2 linked regions of the Ovis aries genome follow. The protein of the gene in region 1 binds, or shares a complex with, the protein of each later gene. Links are inferred from orthologs where the notes say so. Each region holds a gene or a part of one and is shown in the gene's direction. Other genes may lie near its edges.

Region 1 (5,488 bases):
CCTGGCCTGATTAGTGTATGAGTTTGCAAGCCCTGGTTTAAAGTAAGAGCAGACTGAGCAATTAATGAACTCAACTTGAGGGCAGATTCAGTGTTTACCTAATTCAGAAGTGAACTGAGAAAGAATGTGAGGGAAATTGAAGCATCAAAGAGAGGTGGTATAGTTACCCAGACTGTTATAATGAGTGTATTGAGGCTTGATTTCTCAAGGACCTCTTTTATTCTATCATCAGAAAGGAGCCCTCCCCTGCAAACCAACTTGTACTGAGCTCTGATCTCATCAGAACCTCTGTAAAGTACACCAGAGGTCCAACCTGCTTGCAGTCAACCCCCATTAGCCGTGAACTCATGGACTCAGGAATTTTTGCAAGAAGAGGTTCATTTTCTCTTCTTACTTTCTCCTCTCCCTTGCAGAAAAGACAAAAATTCCATGGCACATGCCCCCAGTGTCAGCATTTTTATATTAAGACAGATTTGCCTCCGCTCACTTTGATATAGGAGCTCAGGATCTCAACTCTGTTATTAACAAAACTGATCTTCAGAGCTACTTTAACAGATGGCATATCCAAAGTGGTTGAAAAATGGTTTACCACGTTCCTTGTGTTCATCCTTCAAGTTCATGGCTGTCACCCATCACCACCTGAGAGTACTTAATGCTCAGGATAACTAAAGGGAGAATAAATCCTGTTTGCTTTGAACACAACCCAGGGTTCAGCATATGTTCCTGTATTGGCCAAGGCTAATCAGCTCTTTCCCCCTCCTCCCCTCACTTGTGCCTGTAAATCAGGAGGCCCCAGGATCAGTCAACACGAAAGAGATAATTAGTAAGTACAAGCTGCTACCTTCATAGATCACGCTGTGCCTTAGATTCAAGCTCATCCAAGAAGCTGAAACAAGCAACATTACACAAGTATTAGTCACTTTAGCAGAACCTTTTTTATACAAAGCTTATGAGTCTGAATGTTTAAATCTACCCTCCCTGGCTATTGTAAGGATAGCTGAGGTACGAGGCCAGAGGGGAGTGATCTTAGCCATTTTATGATGTTTTCCTTTCCTGGACTAAAATGTGTCTTTGGAACCCCAAGGATCTGAAACAGAAATGGTTTCTTAATGGCATAGGCTTGGCATTCAGAGATCTTTAAATACCTTACCCCTTCTCACAGATGTGGCAGCAGAACAAGATGCTACTTTTTTCCACTGGGATGTGGTCCATCCCCTCGGAAGGCCATGGCTTGTGCCTTTGCCGGTCATTTGTCCAATTGGAAGATTCATTTCCTGCTCTGGCAGGGCACATGGTGAAGAGCATTGCTGCCCCAAGAAAAGAAAGACTGTTTCTAGTCCAACAAAATAGCCTAGGAACTTCCTTCCCATGTGTTGCTAGTCTGAGACTGCTGGCTTACAGAGAAGTGTTCCACTCATGTGTTTATGACTTTGGAGCTGCTCAACTGCATGCTGGCTTTTATTTTTTCCATCACACAATGTTTCTTCCAATTTTTGAGCTTCTCATATCAACCACTTTGCTATTTTTAAGCAGAATGATTCAAAGCCAAAGTAGCTCATCAGAACAGTAAAATCTCACCAGTTCAAGCAAGAAGCTTATACTCTTTCAGGGAGAGAAAGACTAGTATGAGAAGCTAGAGTCCCATTTCATCTTCTATAAGATAAAGATGTAGGTAGGGTTGTATAATCAGTCCTTTTCTACTAATATTAAAACCACATAAAATCATCATCATTGATTATAAGAAGCATCATGTTTTATGTACCAGCAAGAAAATTTTAAAAACTGTCACTGGTTAAATCATTCCAAAACACTGTTAAAGATATCCTTGCAATGCATGAGTTGGTGAGATCAGACTTCAAAATCTATTCAGACAAATTCCATTCAGACCTCTCCTGCCCTCTAGTTGTATTGTTTGGCATGAAAGAGGCCCATTCTTTTGGATGATTTCAATAACAAAATGTGACACCACTTTTCATCTCCTTGGTGGTATCTTTCTTTCTAAGCAAATAAAGCGTCTGCTTGTCTCTTCATAAGAAAATCGGAAATTGCTGTCCTTCTAATGACAAATATTTACTTTGCCAATGTCAAATTTACTTGACACTGCTCTGTTTTTGAGAGTTTCTATTTATACAGTTACTTTTCGTTTCAATGCTTAATTGTAATGTAATCTTTTCTAAGACAATGAACAGCATTTAAACTTGGCCTAGTACCAAGAGTGGATGCAACTCAATGGAAGGGACAAGCTGGACACCTGTTACCATGTTTGCCGTGCTTGGACAATGGCGTTTGCATCATGACTGCAGCTTGGCAACTGAAGTTTTGGAACCCCATCCATCCCCCATGCACTCTAATCTCAAAGAAGTTAATGTGATAAAACAGGCAACTTAGATGGTTCAGTTATAGAAGTGGCTACAATCTGTTGAGAATTTTCCATATATCTGGCAAAATACTAAACTCTTGCCAAGACCTAATGTCTAGCAGACTTCACAGCAACCCAAGATGTATGTGCAGATTAGAAAGTTTAACCACGTTAACAAAATTTTCCCAGATGATACAGCTACGTAAATTTCAGAGCAAAGATTTCCATCCAGACAGAGGCCCTTCTATCCACCAGCTCTATGGCTCTCTCAGGCCGTATCAATTACGGGCACATCAACTGCAGACTGCTTTTCAGAAACATCACTCCAAATAGGCTCTCAAAGTGTTATCTAAAATAGCTCAATTATATCCAGTTTTCTGTAATGAGTTGGTGAAAATAATTTAGAAATTAACATCCATTATATGCAAATAGTCGCTTCTTAAAGGGACTCGCCCATTCAATTTCTGCCTTCATGATCACTGGGAAGCTGGTGTGGCTGTCTGTGGCTACATCCTCACCACAACACTGAAAGAGTGAAATCATCAGCATTTTCTGATCGAAACCTACCTAAGAGCTGAGATGACTTGCCTAGTGACAATGGAAGGGCATTCACAGCAAAAATATGGACTTGGATAAACTCGAACCTTGGTCTCCTGACTCTTAGGCTTGCTCTTTAACATGGAGGGTGAATGGATATAGACCTATTTTTTAAAAGAGCGTGAATGTTGTTTTACTCTCCCAATGTTAGAAGACAGGCACATTTTTAGTGCATGGGAGCCCCCAGTCCTCAGTCCCTCAGAGATTCTGGCCACTCTGAGACCAGCCCCAAGGCAGGGGACTGGAAGCCAGCAAGCCGGCCTCTAGAGAACCATGGTGCTGAGCAAACTCCTGTGGCTTTGTAATGCGGGTGATTCTATTTCCATGGACAGTTAAATATGGAATCTGGGAGGAGTTTTGTGTTTATGTTCAGTGGTTTGGGAAACTAAACCCAAAAGAAAGGATTGAGAGGGTGACTAAGGGCTTTCATGGTCAAGATAAACACCAGCAAGAAGGAATTACCACGTCCAAATAGTTGAAGATAGCCAGCCTCAAGCCCTAGTCTTTGTGACCCCATGACAACTCTCACAGTTTGCATTTCAGGCACCGGGATAGAGAGTGTTTTAACAAAATGCAATAGACGAATTTTAAAAGCTGTTCTCTCAAGTCATTCATTCATTTGATTGGCAAGTGTATATTGACTTACCTCCATGTGAAAAGAGAGGGGAACCAGGGGCGAGCAAATCAATTTCCGAGGGCAGCAAGCACGTGCGCTGGAAGAGGCCCAGCTGAGCGATGTGCAAAGCTTTCTCTGACCTCCTTCTGGCTTTGTTACAGCTGCAAAGGTGCCTCCCACTACGGTCTCACTAAAGACAGGAAGAGGCGCTCTCAGGATGGCTGTCCAGATGGCAGCACCAGCCTCACAGCAACAGCACTGTCCCCAGAGATTTCCACAGTTCCCACCGTCTCCTTAATGACAGATGAGCCTGGCCTAGACAACCCTGCCTACGTGTCCACAGCAGAGGATGGTCAGCCAAATAGCCCCCTGGACTCTGGCCGGAGCAACCGAACAAGGGGTGAGTCAAATGGGTGGTTGTCCGGGAATGGGCTCTTCTGCCTTGGGACTGCCCTCTGTGAAACGGTCACTGTGGAAAGTCCTAGAAATGTTTTGTTTAAGAGGAAATTGTTCTGGTAGTTTTGGCCACAACCCAACATCCAGTTCTCCAAAGTGAAATGAAACCACGAGGACTTGAGATCATTAGAAACGTGTGTAATCTGACTTGGTGAAAGGAGTTGAAGTTAGACCTAGTGATTCATCACTCCTGCAGCGTCCATACCTTCCCACCCAGGCAACTCGAGAAAAGTGCTGTTATATTCCATCCAGCCTAGGAAAAAATGACAAGCAGATTTTAAATAAACCGTCCATATTTCATTGTAGAAAACTGAGAACATACAGATAAGCAAATTGTATCATCCTGCTACCTCGAAGTAATCACCGTTTGCAGTCTGTTGTGTATCTTGCCAGCCGTGTCCATTAAAAAGACCTTTTTCTCTCTTGTCTTCAGCACGGCCCTTTGAGCGATCCACCATCAGAAGCAGATCCTTTAAAAAAATAAACCGAGCCTTGAGTGTTCTCCGAAGGACAAAGAGTGGAAGTACCGTTGTCAGCCAAGCTGACCAGGGACGAGAGGATTCTGAAAACACCACTGTCCTTGATGGTAAGTTGCTTCCCCATGAGGCTGGGCGTGGCCTGGGCTTCTAGAATGACGCCAGGGGTGATGACCACAGGACTAGCCCTTACTTTCTACGACACCTGTCTTCCTAAGGGCATAAATATTTTTTACCTTGATTACTCTACTTATATAAGTAACCAAAGGCAAAAATTACTTTTCCTTTTTTTTTTTTTTTTTTTTCTGGCTACATTGGGTGCTTGTTGCGGCTCACCGGCTTCTCTAGTTTGGCATGGATCTTAGTTCCTGAACCAGGGCTCAAACCCATATCCCTTGCATTGGAAGGCAGATTCCCAACAACTGGGCTATTAGGAAAGTCCCTACTGTTCTCTTTTTACATAGATTGAGGGAAAAGATTTTGGAACCCTTACCTTCAGGTCTTAGCTTAGTGTATATAAAGAATAATATAGTTAAGTGAAGAGCAGTTAGAACAGTGCCTGGCACACAGGAAATGCCATATGAGTATTCTTATCTCCACCTTGTGTGATGTGTGATTCTGAGGGTTTTCTATGTATTAATTCATGTACTCTTCAACAACTCTATGAGGGAGCTACAATTATCATCCCTGTTTTATAGATGAGGAAACTAAGGTACCAGGCAATTACTTAGTTTGCCCCTTCTGAACTTGGAATCCAAGTAATGTGGCTCTAAAATTCACGCAAATAACGTTTCTGGATCTTAGATTCTATATCTTTTTTTCACTATAAATGGAGCTGAGAAAATACTGTCCTGTCCTTTCCTTTTCATCTTACGCTAGAGCTTCACAGCAGTAATGATAATAACTGAAAGAATGCTTTTGAGCTTTCCTGGGTGCCAGGCAGTGCTCTAAGGCATTTAAAGGTCACAATGATAAGAGATGGGG
Region 2 (6,194 bases), on another chromosome or scaffold:
GAGATCAAGCATACAAACAACACTGAAACAGGAAAGAGGACGAGCTCGTGCCTTTGCTGGAGATGTTCACATGGAGAGACGGGAAGGAGAAAGGGGAGTGTGGCACGCATACTTAGGAGTGTGTTAGCACCTGGGACACGGTGCTAACTCCGAGGGTAGCGGTGGCTCCTCCTAGGAGGCTGGAGCTTTCTCTCAGCCACATACATATAAACAAAGTTCTTAGGAAAAAAGAGGCTTTTCTGAATACAGCAAGACAAAGGGTTAACCCAAACAAGGAAGAAAAAGACACCAAAAAGGCTCCTGTTAGACACAAATACTTCCTTTGAGCTAGACTTAATCCAGTCTCACTTAGTCAGCAGGCTGGGCTCTCCTGGAGTGAGGGTGGGGGTGTCACCAGGATACGGAACATGACTGGAGTGAGACAGAGGATCAGGGCTGGTGCAGGCAGACAGGACACCCTTACCGTCTTTTCCCTGGACAGCAGACCCTCAGTCCCGGAGGCCACAGGGCGGCTGATGCCCAGGCCGCACAAAGCAAGGAAGGTGGGTGGGACAGTTGCTGGCCCTTCACTGGTCCTGCAGGTGGCTGCAGAGTTCTCTCTGGCTCCGCTCGCCAGCCCAGCTGTGTGTCTTGAGGCGGAAGGTCTTCATTTCATCCTTGAAGTCCTCATGGTTCATGGGCCGGTAGTCTTGAGACTCACAGAAGGTCGGGTGCTGTGGGAAGAAGTCCTTGTAGCCGCCTTTGAGTATATACATCTCAGGATAGTAGAGGCTGGGGTAGTCGTTGGAGGCTCTGTCTCGTTCCCTGATGAAACGGCACATGCGGGGGTCCCGCTCAGATGAAAATTCACAGTGGAAAATGAGGATGATTCTCTTATCCAGGATGCAGGGTGTGATGGGGCTCTGTAGCAGGAAGGTCTCGGCATCCCGTTCCAGAGGCAGGTTCACAGCAGTCTTGATGTGCCCGCCTTCATACTCATAGGAGTATCTGCAGTCAACAATCACAAACTTCTCCACGATGTGGCTGAACTTGCCTGTCAGCAGAGCCACCACTGTTTCTGGTGAGATGTACTTGAGATCTTGGTGCTTTCCATCCACAGTTTGTAGGAGGAAGGCCTTGGAGTAATCCCCGATCAGTTCTCGGTGGTCATTGTCCAGGATATTCTCAATCTCATCATGACACAGAGACTTTGAGCGGAGAATGCGGGCTTTAGGTTCCTCAGCCTCCCACAGCTCCTCCTCTGAAGGGGTCACGCTCCTTTTCCACTTGTTCTATACAGGCAGATCCTGGTCCTGTGGGCGCTCTAGCCTCTTGAGGATGGGCCGGATCACACCGCAGGGCATGGACGGAGAGCGGAAGAGCCGCTGGCACTTGCTGTACATGATGAGGTCCTGTTCCTCTTCCTTTTCTGAGGTCTTGACCAGTGGGGCACTGATGAGGCTCTCCATGCCTGGGGGAACTACATCATTCTCCTTTAAGTCAGTCTCCAGGATATCCACGAATCCATCGTCTTCCTCAACAGCCCCTGTGGAGGGGGTCAGGGAGAAGTGGCATCGGGCCAGGGGGATCAGTTCCTCTCCTTCCATCTTCCGCTCAGGGGTGAGACACATCAGGTCGGGAGCTAAGCTTGGCCTCTGGGCAAAGTCTTCTCTGCGGCTGGCCCACTCCCCAAGAACACGGGAGTGGCAGGGCTGTGTGGGTTTCCCTGGCATCTTGAAGACAAATCCATCATTCTCTTTGTCCTCCCCAGAGCCGTAGGCAGCTTGGTCACAGGCCTCAGTCTTCCTCCAGGTGCCAGAAGCTGGGGAGTTGGTGATGTTCCGTAGCACAGGACTGTGGCCCAGAAGACTCCCTGGCAAGGACTGGAAACGTCGGATGGCAAACTGCTCATTTTGAATAACTCGGCTGGCTGCCTGGATGGCCTGTTCGAACCTGCCGAGCCCAGCGAGATGGTGCATAGTCTGGGTGAGGGTGGTGACCGGCGAGGAAGCGGCCGTGCACTCCGGAGACCCCAGGAGGCCATGAGCCCCCAGCCAGAGGCCCGGGAGGTGGCCAGGACGCTGGGTGCCACCTCGCATGCCAGCCGGACTGAGAGCCGAGCCTGCCACGGGCTCCGGCTGGGGCAGCTCCATTGCGGTGGGGCGGGCGGGCCTGGCGTAGGGCGACCAAGAGACGCTGGGCACAGCTGGCCTGGGCAAGGTAGGGAGCCGGCCCGGGGTGGAGGGGAAGGGAGGGAGGAAGAGCAACGGGGCAGGAGAGAGAGAGGAGAGGGAAGTGGGGAGGGAGGGACACGGGGACAAGCCACCAGCCCAGGAAGCCTCTAAGGACTTGACTTTTAAAGCTGGCTCTACTCCAGAGGACTTCACCCTCAGGACTTTTTTTTTTTTTTTTTTCTTTCACAAAAGAACCTGTTCTTGTGGACGTGGAGGAACCTGTCTGGGAGCAGGAACCGGCTTTGCCAGCCCCGGGCCTGTGCCGGAGCCCAGGGAGCAAGGTTGGTTGGCGGCCGGCCGGGTCCGCGTCCATATCTATATCCACAACCATGGGCAGGAAGGGTTTGCTGTCCTCTCACTGGGGCAGGAGGCTCGGGCCTGACTCTGCTGGATGTGAGAAAGCTCGTGGGCGGGAACTAGGGGTGGAGGCCAGGTGGAAGTGCAGCCGTGGCCCTGAGGCGGGGCGTTGTCCGTCTGACCGTCTGACCGGCCCTCGGGCTGGCTGATGATTAACTGAGAGTCTGCTGTTCTGGGCCCGAGGCAGGAGGCCACCTCTGTGTGCACAGCTTGGCTTGTGACGTGAGCCACTTCCTGGTAACAGCTGAGTACCGTCCAGATTCTCCAGTGGCCGACAGATTTGTTCCTGCGTCTGTGTGGGGAGAGGTCGGAGGCAGGAAAGAGGGGACCAAGAACCTTCGCTGAAGGCCCGAGAGGCAGATACACCTGCCACAGGTGAGACACCCCGTGGGTCTGGTGTGTGGCCAGTGGACTCCCCACAGATACCGGCTTCCTCCTGGGGAGCTGGTGCTTAGCTCCTGGAGGCCCGCTAGCTGCTGGCCTTGGGGGGAAAGAGCAATCTGAGGCATATCTGTTTCCCAAATTCCACAGAGTTGAAATGAAAACTGGGATGCCCTGTGAGTGTAGGAATTTGAGACAGTTTCTCAATTCTAGCTTCACTGGGAGCTGTTCTTGGGTTGCGTTGAAAGCTGAGACTTGGCTGGAAAATTCCTGGCATGCCTGTTATTCATCGGACAGACTTTAAATGCTGTTTATTCTTCCCCAAGGCTTCCTCAGTGGCTCAGCAGTAAAGAATTCTTCTGCAATGCAGGAGATGCAGGAGACTCAGGTTTGATCCCTGGGTTGAGAGGATCCCCTGGAGGAGGAAATGGCAATGCACCCCATATTCTTGCCTGGAGAACACCATGGATGGAGGAACCTGGCGGGCTACAGTCCACTGGGTCGCAAAGAGTTGGACACGACTGAACAACTGAGCACACACACATATCTTTCTCCAGTGAGAGGTTTGATGGGAGGGAAGTTGCTCTAAATCTCTGGAAGTTCTAAGACTCCCCACATCTGGCTGGCAGAGTCAGCACCCCTCTGAATGTGGGGGCACCCTGAGCTGGGGTACTGGGTGGAGGAGGCGCCCTGATGCCTTTGTATGTGCACATAGAGGTTTGCAGAGAGCCCCTTGTGTGCATTTAAATTCTCACTGTCTTCATTGTTTTGGGGTTTAGAATTTATGTTGATGCCTAAAGACAGGATGTCTGCAGCCCCTGAATTTTGCGATATCAGACTGTTTCCAAGAACCCAGCCATAAGGGTGTGTGTGTGTGTTATGGGTAAATAAACCAGATGATCAAATTCAACAATTTCCTTCCTGAGATGATGAGTTTGCTGGGTGCAGACGGGTCTGCTCAGTGTTTCTGCCTTGTCTGGGCAGTAAAGAGTGGTTGGCATTTAAATCCTGTCCTGATGCAATTTAATAAGATTTAAGACTTTTAACATTGCAGTTCTTCAACTAAAAGCAGGTAACGCAAGTCGTCTGAAATAAATGAATGAGAAGTGAAATCTTAGACTACTCCACCAAGATATGAACTTGCAAATTACCTGGCAGAGATTTCCTTTAATTAAAGGGACTTGTCTGAGCTCAGTTACAACTTGAAATCAACCTGAGGACAGTTATTCTCTGTACACACCCTTCAAATAGGGTCTGCTCACAAATCCACATCTGGGTTCCTGTAGCACTTGGGGTGTTCCTATACCCCAGCCCGGGGGCTGCTGCTGAGCTTTTAGGAATGGACTCATTCTGTCACACAGAGAATAAGTGAATTGTCATCTGGTCCTAGTTGGCAGCTGGAGTGACCCTGACTATCAGTGACTAGAAATACTTCATGGTGGACCTTAAGCTCTTGCTGCAGTTTATTGCTTTTGGTAAAATGTGTGACTTTTATAACTCGGCAGCTCAATTTCTCCTCCATCCTCTGCTCTGGCCTAGATTCTAGGTGACTCGCCGAGCAACTGACTTGTCCACTTGTGTTCATCGAACCTTGAAAAAATTAGCAAATGATTTATTTGGTGCTTGTTAATTTGGGATCTTGGATCAATCTGGGAAGCCCATGATTTTAGTTTGTGTTCAGCTGCTGGACAGCTTGGTGAAAGTGAAAGTGTTAGTTGTTCAGTCATGTCTGACTCTGTGACCACCAGGGACTGTAAGCCTGCCAGGCTCCTCTGTCCATGGAATTCTCCAGGCAAGAACACTGGAGTGGGTAGCCATGCCCTTCTCCAGGGAAGCTGGGAATCAAAGCATATTTGCAGGAATTTGCTGAGTCTGTTTTTGATGATGGGAGAGGCTGAGGTGGGATGCTCCTGCCACACAGGTACCATGACCCCTTACATGACATAGCTGCACATGAGCAGACGTGGTTTCCTACACAGGCTGAAATTTACTTTCCCAAGTCATCAGAAAACAAAGAGGCGGAAATCCCACATTCCTTCTCGTGATCTCGTGAGCAACCAGTGACATGCTACCATGTAAAGAGGGGATCACCGGCCTGGGAGTCCTCAATCCTTCCCACCCGAACTCTGTCTGATTCAGCAGCTTGTATGTGGTGCCTTTTGCAGGTGGAGATGATGCAGTTATTACCTGTGTCTATTTCAGTTCTCATATCTCTGCTTGTGGGTTGTTGTGGGGCCTGCTTCCTACGTCTTGTAAGAGAAGACAGGATGGAGCCTAGGGTGGGTGGGTCAGCTCGTCACAGAACCCTGTGCAGGGTCTCTGATGGAACCTGTTGCCCCCAATTTGGGGGGGATGGGTTGTATCCCCCAAGTGGAAGTTTGAAATCTGTGTGGATGCCAAAGCCAGTGTGAAAACTCCTGGCAGGTCAGGTCACTGTGCTAAGGATGGGTGAAATAAAGAGCCCCTAGAAACAGTTCAGAATACATTCAGTGGATGGCTTCAGTGCTCCAAGCAGTGCTGGTGACAGTCTTGAACAGGCCTGTCCTAGGGAGAAGGAAAAATAAAACTAAAAATGAAAGGATAGGGAGTGAGCAAGAGGGTTATCACAGAAAAATGTGTGGGCCGAGATACATGCATGACAAGATTGCCCTGTGCTGCAAGGGGCCAGCAAGGCCTCACCTGGTCTACGCTGACCGCTCCCCTTCCACTCACCTTCACTCTCTGCCCAGGCCCCCGAGTCTCTCTGTGGTTCCGCAAACGAACACAGAGGCACAGTCCCACCCCAGGGCCTTTGTACCTGCTGTTCAGCCTGGGAGGCCCTTCTGCACTTACCCGCCTGCCTGTCACCTGACTGCCTTCCCTACTCATGGGACACCTTCTTGGAAGCCTTTCTCCCATCTCTCCTTTGAAACGTCAGCCAGCACATCCCACACACCCCCTCACACACAATCCTCTCTACTGTTTGTCTTCATACCTCTTACCACCTTCTAATAAGCTTATGATCTAGGTCTTCATTTTGCTATTTTTCTTCTGATAATGTAAACTTGTGGGTAGGATTGCTTTTTCTCAGTGATTAGAGCATCCATTCCCATCCATATAATGGAAGGGAAAAACAGTAAACCCACACTCAGACCTCTCAGTCAGTGATTTTGTGGTCATCGTAGAGCATAGTAGGTGTTTCCATGATTTATGCATAGGCTTGGGAGCAAGATCACTTATTACAGTGATTCTCAGACGTGAGTA

The links. The genes of interacting proteins can lie anywhere in the genome.
Region 2: the proteins of LNX1 (region 1) and IGSF5 are in contact, whole or in part, in a crystal structure (PDB 3VQG), measured with the Mus musculus proteins. The link is inferred for Ovis aries from reciprocal best matches to the Homo sapiens genes LNX1 and IGSF5. Residues at the interface, in NP_001153049.1 of Mus musculus: Gln396, Leu397, Gly398, Ile399, Lys400, Leu401, Val402, Phe413, Leu416, Pro446, Ala449, Ala450, Ile453; in NP_001171358.1 of Mus musculus: Val367, Thr368, Leu369, Val370.

The regions. Positions count from the first base shown.
Region 1 is NC_056059.1:69,722,373-69,727,860, reverse strand, and holds part of LNX1 (E3 ubiquitin-protein ligase LNX), read left to right. Parts: intron 1-3,602; exon of another isoform or gene 3,603-3,733; coding exon 3,734-3,972; exon of another isoform or gene 3,973-4,281; intron 4,282-4,378; exon of another isoform or gene 4,379-4,461; coding exon 4,462-4,614; intron 4,615-5,488.
Region 2 is NC_056054.1:260,559,119-260,565,312, forward strand, and holds the start of IGSF5 (immunoglobulin superfamily member 5), read left to right. Parts: upstream 1-2,816; 5' UTR 2,817-2,945; intron 2,946-3,277; 5' UTR 3,278-3,514; intron 3,515-6,194. UniProt on the Homo sapiens protein: Provides, together with MAGI1, an adhesion machinery at tight junctions, which may regulate the permeability of kidney glomerulus and small intestinal epithelial cells. Mediates calcium-independent homophilic cell adhesion.